Linked DNA regions of Caenorhabditis elegans. The protein of the gene in region 2 interacts with the protein of the main gene of each other region in a pairwise test. Each region holds a gene or a part of one and is shown on either strand. Other genes may lie near its edges.

Region 1 (8,604 bases), on a different chromosome or scaffold from region 2:
TTTATGTAATTGGTTTTCATCACGTATCCGAGAGAGCGTAATAAATAAATAAATAAAACGCTTTCCAATTGTCTTTTGTAGACAGAAATAAAATTGATATAGTCTCCAGAGTGAGGATATGTGCATTTTACCAAGTGGTGACCGGAGGGACACTTGTGAAAACAAGCTACCGTAGTCTTTACAATTGGTTCTCTTCCAAAAGGTCAAAATATCTATCATCTAACTTGGACCTGGTTAATCAAATGTTCTAACTCATATCTTTGTAAATAAATCAAACAATGATTCTGCACAACACTATGGAAAAGCGAATGGCAATTCTTGAACTGTAATTTAAAAGCAGTTATGACAATTAATATAAAATACTCTTCCAAATTTTCTTCTTCAAAGACATCCAGTTCAGAAGAGCTGAAACCTAAAACATACATTCCAGCTTATTACCAGCCACCAGTTTCTATGCCTAAATACTACGTTAACTGGTTGAGAATAAAGTTATCCTTGAATAAACTCAAAGTTAGTTTCTTTGATATTGGTTACCAAGTTGTAACGTATATCGTGCTCTCTTCATCATATCAAACATCATTCAATCTCTCAACGTCATTTACTGATATCGGACACCCGATGAGTCAATTGTTTACGTTTCCCGTCGTAATGAATAATCTTCAGAAGTTAATCTACCGTACTTGTACAGTAAGGGAAAAGTTGCCGATTGCCAACATTTTTTGATGTTCGGCAACTTTGGAAATTGACAATACCAATTTGAAATTTTATTTTATTATGAAAAATATATTCAGAGAGCCTGAAAGAAGCGAACCTTTTTCTCATATTATTTTTCAGAATATAAGGGCAATATATTTGTTTGACCAATGCCAAAACTTTAACCAGTATCAGGAAAGTAGCCGAAAGTTTTCAGCTGGTCAAGTTAGGTAACTTCCGGTTGTTGTCCATTCCTACTATATTTAGTTGTTCCATAAATTGTATTTTCTAAGATTTACTAATTGCTAGATCTTAAGACTTTGCCTCCATTTTGGAGCTGCTCTTTAATCAAAATCAAAAATTTCCAGCTCATTAACTCCATGGTACTCCAATTTCAGTAATTATTCTACAGTAATCCTCCGGATGAAGGACACGTCTCTTCCGCCACTTGAAAACCCATCAAACGGGGGAACATATCTCTTTAACCTAATTACCGTATTCCCCTCCATTGCGCTTTCATTCAATTATTCGTGGCGGGGGGACACTGGGCCGTCCATCTCGATTTTCTCTTTCTCTCTCTCTGTTCTTTTTTTTTCTCTTTTCCCTCAACATAAAAATATATGCGCGCGCGCCTGGTGCCGTCCTTTCCGCCGCTCTCTTTCTTTTTCTCTTCGTTTCGTAAGCATCTATTTACACATATACACACTCACTCACACACACACATAAACCGAAACGAGAGAAAGATGAAAATAGTGTTGTGCTAGAGAGATAAAATGGGCGGAGTCAACGAATACGGTATCTCGCACCCTCTGCTTAATTGTTTACGTCCCGCCGTCGCTGACAGCTTTTAGAGGATCCTTCAGTATACACACACACACACACACACACACTCACACACTCACACACGAGCATATAATTCTATGATTGATCGATTTGGCGGCAAGTTCCACAGCGGGCTCCGAGAGCACCACAGGGTCCGATGAGAAGACTGCTCTCTTCATTTCACCCACTGTCTAACTTCCAGTGTTGTCTCTTGAATGTGTCATTCAAGAAAGCGCACACACCCTCGTTCACTCTTTTTCTCTGCATCTCTTGTCCTCATCTCTCTTTGTCGATAGTCGTTAAATGCGATGGAAGGCAGGCGAAAAGGATTACTGTATCTCTGACACTACCCACCCCGCCCTTTCGTGAAAGGCTCAACAACAAGGAGGCGTGTCGATGGCCTCCGATTGGTCGATGCAGAATTAGTTGTGTATCTGCCTCATTTCTCTAGACCCTCTTGTTTCCAAGGAATATTTCTCTGTGACTGCCTTTCTGCAGATTCTCTTGCCCCTTGTGTTTCGTTCTGTAGCCAGTCCTCTTCTCCTTTCTCCCCTTCCTTCGTCTGTCCATTTTCCAAACTTTGTTCTCTCCTGTCCATATAGTTTTTCAGTTGTTAAGATGAAAAAGTATAGTTGCATGATATCTAATCAATGTATGACCCCATCATGACTTGTACTTTTACTGTAACAATTGAATTATTGATTTTTCTGAAGGCGGCGGTGGCGGCGGCGGCCAGTTAGGAAACATGCTAAATTTCTATTTTGATTGATGTTGGTAAGTTTCGGATAAATGTTTAATTCTCTTTTCACAATTTCTCATGCATCTTCATACTTTCCTTTGTGCTTCACCTTCTGAAAAGCTGTGACCCGCATGTGCCCATCTTTATAATTATAAATTTTCGTTTTTTTTTCATTAAGTTCTCTTTTTCTAATAAACAAAACATCAGTCACTACTGACGCCAGAGCTGACATCATAAAAAACATAGAGTGATTTGTGTATTTTTTGATATATCCTTTTTCCAAAACTCAAATAATTTAATATCTAGATTTTTTTAAATTTGATTTTATATGTTTTTTTTTGAATTTTGGAAGATATTCTCGTAAAATTCGTCAATTTTGCAAATTTCAGTTTTTTTTAACTTTCAAAACGCTTATTCCTGAAAAATTTGTAATTCTTTCTCATAAGTGTTAAGTGTTTATTGTTCCGAAGTAGCATCTATGTTTAGAGTTTTCCCTCTTCTTCTGATCTACAGTATGGAAAAAAAATTGGCGAAATTTCTGGAGATCAAATGAAGAGGGCGCTCACAGACTACCCGTGAAATTTAGCTGATAACTTTTAGCTGAACATTTCAAAGAGCATATGTTTGACCTCCAAATATTGCGCTTTTAAATTTGGAAGATGTTCTCCTTAATCGTTTCTAAAAGGTTTCTGAGCTTTTAAGAAAATGATGTTATCTCTATCTTGATCAAAATCTTACTGAAAAGAGCAACAATATTAGTGTTTGCATACTGATTACGGTGTACACTTCTCTCAGCGGCGCCCTTTGAATTCTTTTTTGTCTCTCGTTCATAACTACGACTTGTTCTCACCGTTCCGACTTGAAACCCCATAAACCGCGAGAAAAGAATCCAATAAATAAGTGATGAAGAGGGATTTCTTTCTCTTTTTCTCTGCTCCCTTACACTGTCTAATCCGTCCCCCCTCCATCCTTAAATCTCCCAAATGGATTCGTTTTCTTTTTCACCGTTCTGATGTAATCCTTCGTATAATCTTTCTCTCGCTCACTTCAACAGAAGAATTTTCAGATAATGTCGAGTGAACCTGCGTCTTCGTCTACAGAAAAAGTCCCGGAGGAGCCACATCCACACTCTATCAAGCACAAATTTCAAGGGCCACAATTTGTGATCCCCCGAGCATTGAGCGATTACGTGTTGAATGTGAACAATCAGACTCCTGAATCTTATGAGTAAGCTTTACAATTTTACTTTTTTTTGTAGCCTAAGAAATTGTAGTTTTCTATTATTATTGGTCTGCCAAAATATATGTGCAAATAAAAAAAAACGATTTTAGAGTTAGTTGAACCTTTAAATATAAGTTTATTGAGATAGAACATAAAAAATTGCAGAAACATACATGAAGATAAGATTTAGAAAAATAACTTTAATTTCCCAATTTCCAGAAAAGCACTGAACGCCAAATATGGAAGAGATGACTACATCACCTTATGCCTCCACGTCACAAGTCTTTGCACAGAATATGGCCCACTTGATGACGGGCCTGAATATGTACTTCTTTGTGATTCACGAGCTCGTGTTGACAAGCTGATCGAGGATCTCGTCAAGTTGTTAGAGATCGACACAGACTACGTACAACTAGAGTTGCATGGTGGAAAGCGCCTTCATCTTCAGAAACCCGATGCAGTTCTCCGTGATATTGCATATAAACAGAGCAACGAGGGATCTGACAAGTTCTTTTTGGAGATGAAGCTTGTGCCTTCGGAGTCAATGAAAGCGAAAATTATGAAGCAAGAGGAAGAAGAAGAGAAAGCAAGAAAACATGGGCAATATCAACAATATCAAGAGTATCACCAACAACATCAAGCAATGAATGATGGACAAAGTAGCTCGAGTGTACCTTCAACTAGCTCTCCGTCATGCTCCAGTGAGGCAAATCGGAAGGAAATGGAAACAGTGCGTGAACCAGCTGGACCGTCAGAATTGATGAGGGCTATAAATGCTCCAGTTGCTCCTGCCCCGGTTGTAATCAAGATTGAAACTCCTGTTGCATTGCCAGAAGAAGATGAAACACTGATGGATGATGATGAAATGCCTTCGCTAACTGTAGAAGCACCAAGTGAAGAAGCTTCATTTGAAGCTGAACAACCTTCTCCACAAGTCCCACAAGCCTCAATTGAGGGACCATCTCAACAGCAACAAATTCCTGGAACTTCTCAACAGAAAAGACAAGTTGCTCGTGGATCTCGTACTAATATGATTTCCTATCATGATTTACCACCTGGCACTGGAAATGCTCCTCCGATGGCTTGTCCTCAAGTTACACTCAAACTTGAAAAAAATGTTCCATTTGAAGCGAAAATCCGTGCAGTTGCTGGGTACACTCGAAAACCAATTTCTGAAGTTCAAAAAATGAGACCGAGTGATCTGGAGAGCATCTTCCATTCGATCTGCATTGCCAGCGTTCAAAGAATAAAGAGAAGAAATGAACTTGTTCAACAGCTACAGGAAATCAATGCCCAATCTTGTAAAAGTCCGACAATGACTATGAACAAGAAGTTCACATTGGCAAAGGCGTATCAAAGGGTCCAGAATGAAATTGAAAAAATTGATCGAGAGCAAATACTTCCTCAACAGTACATGAACATGCCACCAATGCCACCACAAGGACAGCAAAGATTGCCTCCACCAGCATATCCACCTGGTATTCTGCCACCACAACAGGTAGGTTTTCAGAAACCTGGAAAATTAGTTCAATTTTTTATACTTTAATTTCCAGAATCGTCAACAAGGCGTACCTCCACAATTCCAACGTTCACCGCAATTTATGATTGGACCAGATGGACAGCGTTATGCACATCCATATATGCAACTTCCAAATTCAAACCAAAGAGCTCGAATTCTGAATACTTCATCTGTGCAGCCGTCTGAAGAAGTACGCAATCGCCTCGTGAAGATTGAAGCAATGGCGATGAATATGGCACAACTGAACCCACCTCGACCACCTCCTCCACAGCCACCACATCGAGCTCTCCAAGGAGAACTGCAGTTTTTGAGACCTGGAGCACCGGATCCGTGCAACTTTAGGCCAGATTCTAAGCAGACATATAACAATACATATGTGACTGTTGCATCACCAGCGACGCTCACCAATTCAATCATTCCATGGCACTTCCCGCCATATGAAAAATCAGGAGTAAGTTATACTCTTAAATTTAATAAATCTTCAATAATAGGCAAGCACGGTTTCAAATCTTTGTGCCTGCCTACCGCCTATGTAGATTGTTAAAATTGATGTTTCTGGCAGGAAATCTTACCCTTGAGAATTGCTTTTGACATCAAACTCATTATTTTGGTTGATTTTTTAAAGAGATAGTTAAACATCTATTAAGGTGAAGTTGTAGTAGTTTGAACACGTATCAAAGTCTTGAATTCCTCAAAAGCCCTTAAGTTTTTCAAAAATTCTCACTTTATCAAAACTTTGACAGAGTATTTTTGGTCAAGCTGAATAGTTTGACATGCATTCAATCAAAATTCATTCATTCAACAAACTTACTACTTCACCTTCAATGAATTCTCAGTAAATGCAGGGTTTCGTATAAGTGCCAGTTTTGTTCAAAATCATTGATAAAGTTTCAAAATTAAATTAAAGTTTTCAGAGATTGAATGTGAGCAACACAATAAAAGCTATCAACGAGTATCGTCTTCTGTGCAATTCTCGACAGGCTGATCCAGCAAGTTTCCTCGAATTCTACTTCCTTGGTGATCCAATGCCACACTTCAATAAAATTCTTTCAATTGCTGATTACAATATGTATTTGTCTCGAAGACGATGCGATGAGGCAGATGTCAAGATTCATCGAATGTCGCACAGTGATCAATTGCAATTGTACCTTTTGGAACTTCAATCCGACGAGTCAAATGTGGAAAAATGGAAGACATTCTATAGAATTATGCAGTGGGATTTGCCACTAAACAATGAGTTTCCAAGAATACTTCTACCATCTTCATTAGACATCGGAAGACCAGTTGTTGATAGAAAGAAGAAATCAATTGATCAGGTTATGAATCATATACATCGAATGCATAGTCAACGCCCACCAAGCATGGGAAACTCTTCCACATCTTCTGAAGCTTCATCTACCAGTCCAACAAATGCTGCAACAGCGACCAGTTCTCCAGCATCGGTATGTTAATTTTCTAGGAATTTTGGAATTATTTTAAATTCAACTTTTTACAGAACCGACCAACGACTTCTACAGCACAACCACCAACTTTAAATCCAACATAAATTTTAATTCAATATAAATTTGTAAATAATTATGTTTGTTACCAAACCATATTTTGTGTACCTCTTCCGTTTTTTTCCTCTGTCGGGTTTTTGCTTTTGTCTTATTTTTTACGCTTCTAGTAGTAGTGATCTTAAAACTTTGCTCTCATTTACCTATTTTTAGATGAGTTAGTTTCTTTTTTTGTCTGTTTTACACAATCATCACACAATAAACATTTTATTTGGAGAATCGTTATGCGAAGCGTCTGAAAACAAGAACAGTATTTAAGAAAGCAAGTAGCAATGAAGCAATTTTATAATTGGACCAGCACCAATATACTTTCAACCGGATGGTTGTGAAAATTTAAATTTTGAACTACCGCGCCAATCAGAATGTTTCCACCAATAACCAACTAAGCACGCAAAAAAGTTTCTTTTTTCAATTTGTCGATTTTTTGGTTACTACGAATTGATCGATATAATACAATAATTCCAAAAATATTGGCAGATCACATAAAATCCGCAGATTCATAAAATCTGTGTACTTCCTTTTGTAGATAGCACACGTTGATTTGTCAATCCAGATAATTTATAACTAAGCTTACAGAAGTTAGCAGTAGTATTTCATTTATTCCCAGATCCCTAATTCTGATAGTCAGCAAAAATTGGTAAACTTTTTTTTGGCAAAACTTAAATTCTTATACAATCTTGCAGAACAAACTTTTCATTAGAATTTTCAGGTAACGTCGATCAACTTGAACATTTTGCTATTGTGGTTAACCAATAGGATCTGCATAGGAAGATATTGCTTGTTGAGAAATTACTTGCACAAACTGTTCAACTAGCTAAAGTTTGTGGAACAATTGATAAATTTTATGGATATGACGTTTTAACGGATTGCCAAACTAATCGATATGTGATACATTTGAATAAACTTAAACTCTAAAATTCTAAAGTTTTAAGCTACACCGATATTACTATAGTGCGAGGACGTGCTAATAGTAAGTTGTGGTAAATATTTTAAGAATTCTTTTGATGTGGCAGCTGTGAAACAGACAACAATGAATATCCAACTAGTTAAATCTACAATTTCAATATTTGTAATCATTCTTGGATTGGTCAGAGACCCACATTGTTTGAGATTCTTTCAATATCAAAAGTAGCAAAATATTAGTCGGAAATTTTCATTAAAAAATCAATACATGTATAAAGTTTTCACTCAAAAGGACCAGGCAATTTGATGCCATTTTCCCTGTTGAAATTCTTAGTAGTGTGTAAAGTTAAAACTACCGATAAAATCTGGTTGAAAACTAAATCTTCTTGGAATATTCAATAAAAAGTCAAACGAAACAAAAGTAGTTGAATTATAGATTCAAGACTATTCCGAAATGTTTTGAATCATAAAGTCATAATTGCTACAATTATTTAATTATACGTTTTTGGGCGTCTTATTTTATTTTTAAAATTTGATATCTGAAATCTCATATTTTGTTTGTTCAACATGTGATGTTTCTCAGAGCCTTTGGGCATTCTATAGATGCTTTCGTACGAGAAGTAATGATAGCGTCAGAAAAATCGGGATTGATATCAAGAATTTGTTCAGTAAGTGGCAATCAAAAAATATTTGGCTCAACTGTGACTCAGATAACATACCGTACTTTTATCGCCCGGCATAAATTGTAAAATATTCCTATAGATTGAATACGGTATTATCCGCATGACAGAAGTATGCGCGTAAAATGTAGTATCAACTTTAGATGTCTTCGGAATAACATCATGTCTTTGAAAGAGCTTTTTCCATAAGTACAGTAATCCCATTACGTTTCTTACAGTCAACAAACCCAGAGTGGAAACAACAACTTTCCAACGATTATAGCATAATTCGTAAATTGTATCGGAGGAGTTGTAACTCTCCATACTCCATTTATAAAATGAAGTCATACCTGATATTGTTTCTGAGAAAATTTCACACTTTGTTTCTTGATAAAATTTGATATTTTTTATGTTTTTTGGAGCACCAAAACTACTGAATTCTTAACACACATCTGGTTTCTGAATAAGTTCCGCGTAGTATGTCTGTTTAAG
Region 2 (8,978 bases):
TTTTTTTCCAATTTTGCAAAAGTTGTGAATTTCAGAAAAATTTAATTGTATTAGGAAATTCAGAATTTCAAAAAAGTCAAAAAATAATTTTTTTTTGTAATTTGCCAACAAAGGTATTTAAAAAAAATTACCAAAGCAACAGGAAAAACTGCACTAATCAATTTTCAGCTAACAATTCGAATCATAATTGTCGGCTTCTCCCTTCTGATTATAGGAATTTGCTGTGTTATAGCCATAAACTACAAATGGATTCCGTCGTATAGCACGTTATTCGTCTTCTGTTTTCAAAATTTGGTGCATCTGTAAGTATCCTCCAAACAAAGGAAACTGCTTATAAATCTTAAAATTTCAGCAATCCCCTGATAGTCTGCCCAGTGTTAATACTCTCAGTGAGCCCGTGGAGCAAGGCAATCCCGTTCTTCCGGAAAGTTGATTGCATTGCTCTGAAGAGCCAACGTCCGGTTTCGTTATCCGGGCAGAATGTGGCACAGGAAACCGATTTCTATTTTAATCAGTTGCAGAACACGTGGGAGTTGAAGAATTGAGATTTTTTGATAATAAATATTTTGAACTTAATTGAAAATTTTTAGTTTTTTGAGTGCAAATTTCAACAATATTTTCAATCTTACATGAAATAACCGTCTGAAAATAAAAATTGAAAAATTATAAAGTCCCTATTTTTATCGAAAGTTTATGAAAAAAAGAATATGAAACATTATTTTTCCTACGTTACTGGTGTCCCCCGGAAACTTGTGATTTTAAAAGCCTTGGCATCTATACAGGGGTGGGCCGCGAAAGATTTTTTCCGGCAAATCAGCAGATCGGCAAATTACCGGAATTGAAAATTTCCGGCAAATCGGCAAACCGGCTAATTGCCGATTTGCCGACTTTGCTGTAAATTTTCGGCAAATTGTGGGTTTGCACATTTTTTTTTGGAAATTTAAAAATTTCAAATTTGATCGGAAAAATTGCACTCATCCTAGGAATGCTCATACATCTATTTTTAGAAGTAGACAATTCTATGAAAATATCTAAAGAAAACGGGAAAACATTTCACAAAGGCACAGTTTTAAGGGTTTCCGTCTTACATAAAATTCCTCTAAACATTTCCGACAAATTGATAACCGGAAAACGGCAAATGGGCAAATTGCCGAAATTGAAGACTTCTGGCAAATCGGCAATTTACCGAAATGAAAACATCCGGCAAACCGGCAAACCGGCAGATTGCCGGATTTGAATATTTCCGGCAAATCTGCAAACCGGCACTTTGCTGAAAATAAAAATTTCCGGCAAATCGGCGAATTGCCGGATTTGAACATTACCGGCAAATCTGCAAACCGGCACTTTGCTGAAAATAAAAATTTCCGGCAAATCGGCACATTGCCGGATTTGAACATTACCGGCAAATCTGCAAACCGGCAATTTGCCGAATTTGTCGACGAAATATTTGCCGAACGGCAATTGCCGCCTTTCCCTGGTTTATACCTCCAAAAATTGAATAATCTGCTATAAGTTATGGTGATGATTGTTATAAACACATATAATTATATAATACACAAAATAATTGGAATGTATTTTTTTAATCCTTATACATATACATATATCCATAAGCCATCCTCTTTTTATATCTAATCAGGGCTTAACTTCTCTTGCACTATTCCCCTTCAATCTTCCTCTCTCCACATAATTCTTCGTCGTCATACAATTCCCCATCATCTCCTCACTCTTTTGCCCAATTGCCCCGCCCGTAAACCAATCATCGTTCGAGTCGACGAGACACTGTGGTGAAAGAAGAGGGTCGGGGAGGTGTGACTGTGAGTTTGAGTGGGGGTGAGCGTGCGCGCATCACACACTCTCCACTGCGACTCGCATTGATTGATTTGGTCACTCGCACTTTTTTGTTTGCTGTTTTCGTTTTTTATTTTTTTAAAATTATTTTAGTGTTTTGATCGAAAATATAATGTGAAAATTAAAGTATTTAAAATTTTATTTTAAAACCATTTTGGTTAAAATTTAGTTTTCTTTTCAAATTTAGGCTACCGGTATCTAAAAGTTTTCTGCGAATTTCTGTGAGATACGAGTTTTTATTGTGAAGATCGGGCATAACTTTTTGGAGTGTCTGAAAGTTGAATTGACAGTTTTTTTTTTAGAAAAGAAACATTTCCAGAATTTTATTGATTTTTTTGTGTAAAAAATCTACCTCTACTTATTTAAAAATTTATTTTCCTTGTGTAATCATTTTTGAAACAAAATCCCAAGTACCATACACCCCCCCCCCCCCCCCCCACTATACGAGCAATCGCGCTCCATCACGAATCTTGACGCTCCCCTCTCAGCGGGAGATTGTTTTATTGAATTTCACTGCAACATACATTTAAATTAATTTTTTCAAAAGAAATGAGTTCAAACTTGACCAGTAATGAGATGTCATCAACATCTGCAATTGTAGAGCCCCCGGAGGCTGTGAAGGGAAATGAAAGGGATAAGGTATAGTTTACAAATTTTTAAAAATAAAAATAATCGTTTCTCCACTACTTTTACACAAAACAAATGATTTATACCCAGCTCAATATTTTTTTAAACTATTTTTTATATTTTATCAAATGTTGCCCAGTTATTTTCCAATGAGATATAGGGGTTAAAAAAAAAGAAACAAATTTAGTAATTATCAACTTCAAAACCCTCTAACTTGCCGGAAAATAGAGATATGGAAAAATTGTTAACTAACACTTTGGAGTACCAAAATTTATCTACATTTTATTAGTTGACAATTTTTTGATAGCTAACCGTCCCAATAAGTTACAATAGTTTTAAAACTTTCAGTCCACTCGACGATCGACATCTCAAGTGGTTCGACCGGAAAAGCACGAAGTTGAAAATGCATTGGAAGGTGAGTATTTTTCAAATATATTATAGAAAAATTAATAATTGCAATTTTGGTGCTCAAGTTATAATATAAACTCCGTTTTGGCAAATTGCCAATTTTCAAAAAACCCCAATTTCCGAATTTCTCGGAAATTTACCAAAATTTTGTAGTTTTTTAAAGCTCTACTAGACCTTCAATTTTTGAAACTTGCTTACAATTAGTGAAAATAATAATTTTTCAGATCAATGCTCATCAAGCAGCTTACCAAAAGAAGCTCAATATTATGCAAAACTCGACAAAAAGCTAGAGGGCAAAGACCCCCGATCTCAGTTCTACGAAGCGGTACGCCTGTCCGCCGACATTTTTGCTCATAAATTCGAAAAAGCCGTGTGCTCCCGCCAAACGTTCGAGCCGACCAACTCCATCATCAAAGTGCTCAACACTGCCGAGGAGGAGATGCTCCACGAGAAGGTTGTCCCACTACCAGTCAGCTCAAAGCTCCAATACTATCTCAACCGGGGACGTTATGATACGATATTCGATCGTGATGAGCAATTGCAAAGGACTGCTGACCCGATGGCCGACGAGCCGGATCATGTGGAGAAGCGGGTGACGAGCATTTTGGAGCAAGCTTCTCGAGAGATGGAAGAAGGGGAAGTCGAGCCGGTGTTCTATGATGGATCTGATGAGGATCAGGAACTTCCGATTGATCTAGGAGCTATGAGAAATCTGCAAAGGTAGGCACTAGAGCTTCAGAACAAAAAATTAATTAGCAAATATATTATTCCCAAAAGCAAAAAGCCCAAAAAGCGCATACATTTAACCAATTTGTGGGTGGTTTTTTATACGCATAAAGCTACGTTCAGGCCGTTTTTCAGGCCGTTTTCAGGCGTTTAGAATTCTTGAACTAAGAAAAAAAATAGATATTAAAGAATGTCGTGGGATGATTGTTAATGATAACAAAACTCAATATTGCAATATGAAACGGACAATAAGCAATATCTGAGTCATGGCGGAAGGGAAAAAAGTGCGATATTTCGCACAACTATCATATGGCCTGGCTTCCAGATTTTGATCATATCAGTCTTTTCCGTGGTCTCATTACGGTTTGATCTACAAAAAATGTAGGAATTTTTTGCTCAAAAATATGTGACGTCAGCACGTTCTTAACGATACAAAATCGGTTGAGAACTCTGCGTCTCTTCTCCCGCATTTTTTGTAGATCTACGTAGATCAAAGTCTTTGAAATTTTTGAGCTTAAATTTCCCTACACTTTATCAAGATAACAAACGCGCCCTATTGCCAACTTCTCGCACACCGACGCCGCCAAGTTTGAAGGTGATAGGGGGGGAGAGTGAGAGGGTGCCAGAGATTCATGTAAACATGGAACGATGTATGTTTTCCCAGCAGTGTGTGACCTTGTGTGTATGTTTTTTGTCGCGCGTTATATCAATTTTTGTTAGCAATGTTTCAATTTTCTGTGATAACAATCAATCAACTGTTTTCAGAACCAACAAGTTCGCGGCTCGCTCGAGCAGAATGGCAGCTCGGAGGGGAGGACGGCCCGGCTATCGTGGTGCTTTCAGAGGTGCAGCTCGCGGAGCACCTTCTAGAAGACCTGCACCAGCTGCAGAGGTGGCTCCAGAGACTCCAGTAGCGGCTCCGATGGCTCCAGCGGCTCCAGCAGCTCCTGCAACACCTGAAGCAGCTCCGGCAGCAGAAGTTATGGACACATCAATTGCCACAGAGATGCCTCAAGAGTCGGCTGTGGATCTGTCAAATGTGTCGGCGGCTACCGAGATGGATACATCTAAAGAAGGAGAAGCGTCCAGACCGACTAGCGAGAAAAAAAAGGTAAGCTTTTTGAAGGCTCGTATCTCGGACGGTTTTTGTTTTTTCGAAAAATTCTTAACTAACAAAATAATTACCGCATTTTTTTACAATTTCGTAGTTGAGTATTTGTTGATAACTTAAATTGGAGCAATTTATAAGCTTTACTTTGGCAACTCGTAACTGAATCTCTAATGCATATTTTCTATTTATTTTTTATTTTAAATTATAGAAAAATTAATTCTAAACATTTTTGCAGTTTTCAAAATTTTTATAAGACAAAAACCAATTGAGATATAAACTTTCAAAGCTGAAATTTGCTCTAAAAATTGAAAAAAGGTTCTAAAAAAAAGGTTCGTGAACAAATTAAAATTTTTTCTCAAAGTTTCAGAAAATCCGCACAACCGAAATGGACCGTCTTATGAGCATGGACTTGGGACCCAAGGATGGTGGCCGAGTCGGCGAACTCGGCCACATGTGGCCCGAATCACGCCGTCGTCCTGCTGCACCCCTACCAGAGACACCTGCTGCTCAACCGAGAAAGTCTCTGCCAAGGCGAGCCGCCGAGAAGAAGAAGCCTGAAGATTCGGACGCCGCTGAGGAGCAGGAGGTTGAGATGGAGGTGGATAACGACGCGAGCACATCTACTCCAAGAAATGCACGTGGAGGTAGAGGTGGTGGCAATAGACGAGGATCGAGAAGAGGTCAGAAGAGGACATCTGGAGGATCGGGGAAGCTCGTGGAGCCAAAGAAAGAGCCGGTCGACGAGCCAGCCGAGAAAATCCCAAAAAGATCCGAGGCAGCTCCAGAAGTTCCAGCTACTGCCACAACCAAAGAAGCCCCACCATCCACCTCCAGCTCCCCACCGGATGCTCCAGCTACCCCAGCCACTCCAGCTTCATCCGACTCTCGGGATTCCCCACGAAAGATCCGGGCGATGATTTTCTCGCTTACCGGATCCCCACCAGAGTCTGAAACTCCGCCAGTTCTGCAGCAAGAGCAGGTGATCTCCACAGCAGCACCGACAGCCGGTCGCCATCCAAACATCATTCAGCAGGTCCCGCACATCAATCGGATCCCGCCACAACCGCTGAGACGTCTCACAGCTCCTCAGGCTCCACCAGCATCCCAGCCAGAAGAGCCTCCAGTTCAGCAGACTGTTCCGGTGGTTAAAGTCGAATTGGCTTCAGCTCCAGCTCCAATCGTCAGGGATCCACAGTCAACGGAGCCAGTTCCACCTGCGATGCCTACACTTGTCGAGGTAACCATTTTCAGAATATGACGACTAATTTTTAATTACAATTTTCTTCAGAACAACCACGAAGCTACGCTCATTTTGCCGCCCAACAAGACATCAGACTACACAAGGTGGAACGTAAGTTTTTTAAGGCTCAGGCTTAGGCTTAGGCTTAGGTGTAGGCTTAGGCTTAGGCGTAGGCTTAGGCTCTGGTTTGGGCTTAGGTTTCAGCTTAAGCATAGGCTCAGGCTCAAGTTCAGGTTCAGATCTAGGCTTAGGCTTAGGCTTAGTATTAGGCATAGGTTAGCCTTAGGCTCTCTCTCTCTCTCAGGTTTAGGCTCTGGTTTAAGCATAGGTTCAGGCTTAGTCTCAGGCTTAGCCTGAGGCTTAAGCGTAGGCTTAGACTTTTGGCTTAGGCTTAAGCTCAGGTTTAGGTTTTGGCTTAGACTTTGGCTCAGGCTTAAGCTCAGGTTTAGACTTAGGCTCAGGCTTAGACCTAGGCTTAGGCTCAGCATTAGGCTTAGGCTTAGGTTTAGGCTTAAGCTTAGGCTTAGGCTTAGGCTTAGGCTCAGGTTTAAGCATAGGTTCAGGCTTAGGCTCAGGCTTAGGCTCTGGATTTCGACTTAACACATTCTAAAACAATTATGCTTCAGGCGCAAGATCTCATCAACTGGGTTCGGCTTCTCATCACCAACAACGTGGATTCCACTATTGCAATTATGGTTCGCGAGGAGTTTGACGGAGAAACGCTGGCCTGTCTTGTGTTGGACGATGATTTTCGAAAAGAGGTACCAATTCCATATGGTCATTATAAGAAGATGAAGATCTATGGGACTGAGGTGCTCAACCATTATCGTACGGAAAAGTATCAAGCTGATTTGAGAAAGTTCCATGAGGAGTTGGCTGCCTGGAAGGCTCAGCAGCGTTAACTCTGTTAATTTTTTTATGTTAATTTTAATGTTAAAATTAATATTTTTGTTGTTTTTTCTGACATTTCAAGCTCTTGCATATTGACTCCTACCGCTTTACCCATTCCTCGTTACCTAATTTGGACCTACTTAGATGATAGAAAACTTTCAGCAGTTTTCTAATTTTTAATAATTTTAATTTTTTGTAAGTTGATTGCAATTTCTTTAACTATTAAATTCCCCTTTGATACTCACAGAGACATGTTTTATATTCTATAATCAATCGATTTTTGTCATAATACCCGTTTTACCCTTATTTTTTCTGTTCACGTTTGCCCTCATGATTAAATGTTTTTCGAGTTTTTTAAATGTTAATGACATTTTGTATATGAAAAGTTAAAAAATATTCATTTCTGGTTTCCACAAAGCGAACGATACACAAAAATGTTAAAGAACGCTGTGAATGCAATGAAAAATGTGAGATTTTTAATTAAAAAATCTCTTACCGGCTGAGCACACGTGGCTCAGTGGGTAACAGGCTTGACTGGCAAGCAGGAGGCCACTGGTTCAAGTCCACCGACCTCCACCGACGTCAGGAATCGAACCTGTGATCTTTTCCCTTAAAGCTGAGCCTCTTACCGGCTGAGCCACTGGCCGCACAGCACCGCAAAAAATTGTCGGCATGGCTCAGTGGGTAACGAGCTTGACTTGCAAACAGAAGGCCACTGGTTCGAGTCCTTGAACTGAAGTAAACATTTTCAGATCGGAAAATCTCGATCGAGAAGTGCAAGTCGCGAGAAGGTGCTCAAAGACTCGGCCGTACAAGCTTCACCATCATCCCGTGAAGCCGTCCAAGTCGTCAAGGCAATCGCCCAACCAGTCGTCGAACAAAAATAAATATTCTCACGTTTTTTATTACTCTAAAAGAAAATGGGTTCACAGGGCTATCAGTAGAGCGCATATCAGATTTTTGGTCGAAATTTGAGAGAGATTTGTACTCGGGATAACGGGCACAACGGGTAGGGTGGTAGGATATGGAATAAATATTTTGTTGGAACTGTACAAGAAGGGGCTAGAATCAGAGGAAAAAAAAACATTTTAAAAGCAATAGAAAACCAAAGAAATCCCGTTTTGAAGTGGAGAGAAGGAGTTTAAAGGCAGCAAGTTAAAAATTTTCAGAAGAGGGTGCAGTATATCGTATGAAAGTCATGAAGGATTGACTCTCCGGTTCGACTATTCACATTTTTTGAAGGTTTTTGAAGTATCTTCCAATGTTGAATGTCGTATCGGACTGGAATAGATTAATTGAGTTTCTGGAGTTTATTGAATCCTGCAATTCTTTTTCTTCTTCAGCTTGATCGGTGATTCGAGCTTCCGATCGTCATGGGGGTGGATGGGCATGCGCTCGTCATGTTGGTATTTTCTGAAATTTCGAGATTTTAAGTATGAAATTCAAACTCAGCGCGTTGAAAAACCTATAAACCTATAAACGACCTCGAGAACTCGAACCTGTGACCTTCTGCTTAGCAGCCAAACCTCTTACCCACTGAGCCACGCACGCAAAAGTTTCATCTGAAACTCGAGCATGGCTCAGTCGGTAAGAGGATGGGGTTTGAGACAAAGGGTCGCGGGTTCGAGCCCGCTAGCCCCAGTTGGGGATTTTTAATTAATTTTTTTCAAATTTCTTACCTGACTAATCTCACAATATCAAAAAACGCTTCATCAACATTTTTTCGAATTTTTGCCGAGCACTCCAAATATGGTATTGAGAGTCGGTGTGCGAGCTCCTCGGCTTCATGTCGGGCTACCTGAAATTCGAGGTTTTATTCGATAATTTTTTATGGGAAATTTAACATATTCAGTGTAAAAAACCTAATAGCCATTCTGGGGGGTCGAACCGTGACCTTTTGCTCCAAAGGCAAGCCTCTTACCGGCTGAGCTATGCAGCGCAGCGCGCATGGCTCAGCCGGTAAGTGGCTCGCCACTGAATCCGAAGCCATGGATTCGAGCCCAAAAAACTCTGCTTAAATTTTAAAATTTTAAAACTTTAAAACCCCTTCAATGCGAAATCCGACACAGATGTTTTGAATTGCAAACGTTTTTCGTGAGACTCACACACACATATGTTTCGAGTGTT

Evidence for each region. Proteins that work in one complex are often made in the same cells at the same time.
Region 1: the proteins of sop-2 (region 2) and sor-1 interact in binary tests that used the Caenorhabditis elegans proteins (3 or more experiments, as listed by UniProt).

What each region holds. Positions count from the first base shown.
Region 1 is NC_003281.10:8,415,885-8,424,488, forward strand, and holds sor-1 (Sop-2-related protein 1), read left to right. Parts: upstream 1-2,283; coding exon 2,284-2,289; intron 2,290-3,320; coding exon 3,321-3,481; intron 3,482-3,694; coding exon 3,695-4,973; intron 4,974-5,028; coding exon 5,029-5,445; intron 5,446-5,908; coding exon 5,909-6,436; intron 6,437-6,489; coding exon 6,490-6,540; 3' UTR 6,541-6,770; downstream 6,771-8,604. UniProt on the Caenorhabditis elegans protein: Acts synergistically with sop-2 to maintain the transcriptionally repressive state of homeotic genes throughout development. Not required to initiate repression, but to maintain it during later stages of development.
Region 2 is NC_003280.10:12,337,549-12,346,526, forward strand, and holds sop-2 (Polycomb protein sop-2), read left to right. Parts: upstream 1-2,395; 5' UTR 2,396-2,397; coding exon 2,398-2,487; intron 2,488-2,823; coding exon 2,824-2,890; intron 2,891-3,107; coding exon 3,108-3,603; intron 3,604-4,374; coding exon 4,375-4,720; intron 4,721-5,081; coding exon 5,082-5,957; intron 5,958-6,008; coding exon 6,009-6,071; intron 6,072-6,086; exon of another isoform or gene 6,087-6,140; intron 6,141-6,586; coding exon 6,587-6,862; 3' UTR 6,863-7,247; downstream 7,248-8,978. Other genes in the region: sre-52 (Serpentine Receptor, class E (epsilon)), read left to right, coding at 169-302, 353-545; C44C11.6 (Transcriptional regulator), read left to right, coding at 7,286-7,318, 7,604-7,738; ras-1 (R-RAS related), read right to left, coding at 8,162-8,264, 8,531-8,649. UniProt on the Caenorhabditis elegans protein: Polycomb group (PcG) protein. PcG proteins act by forming multiprotein complexes, which are required to maintain the transcriptionally repressive state of homeotic genes throughout development.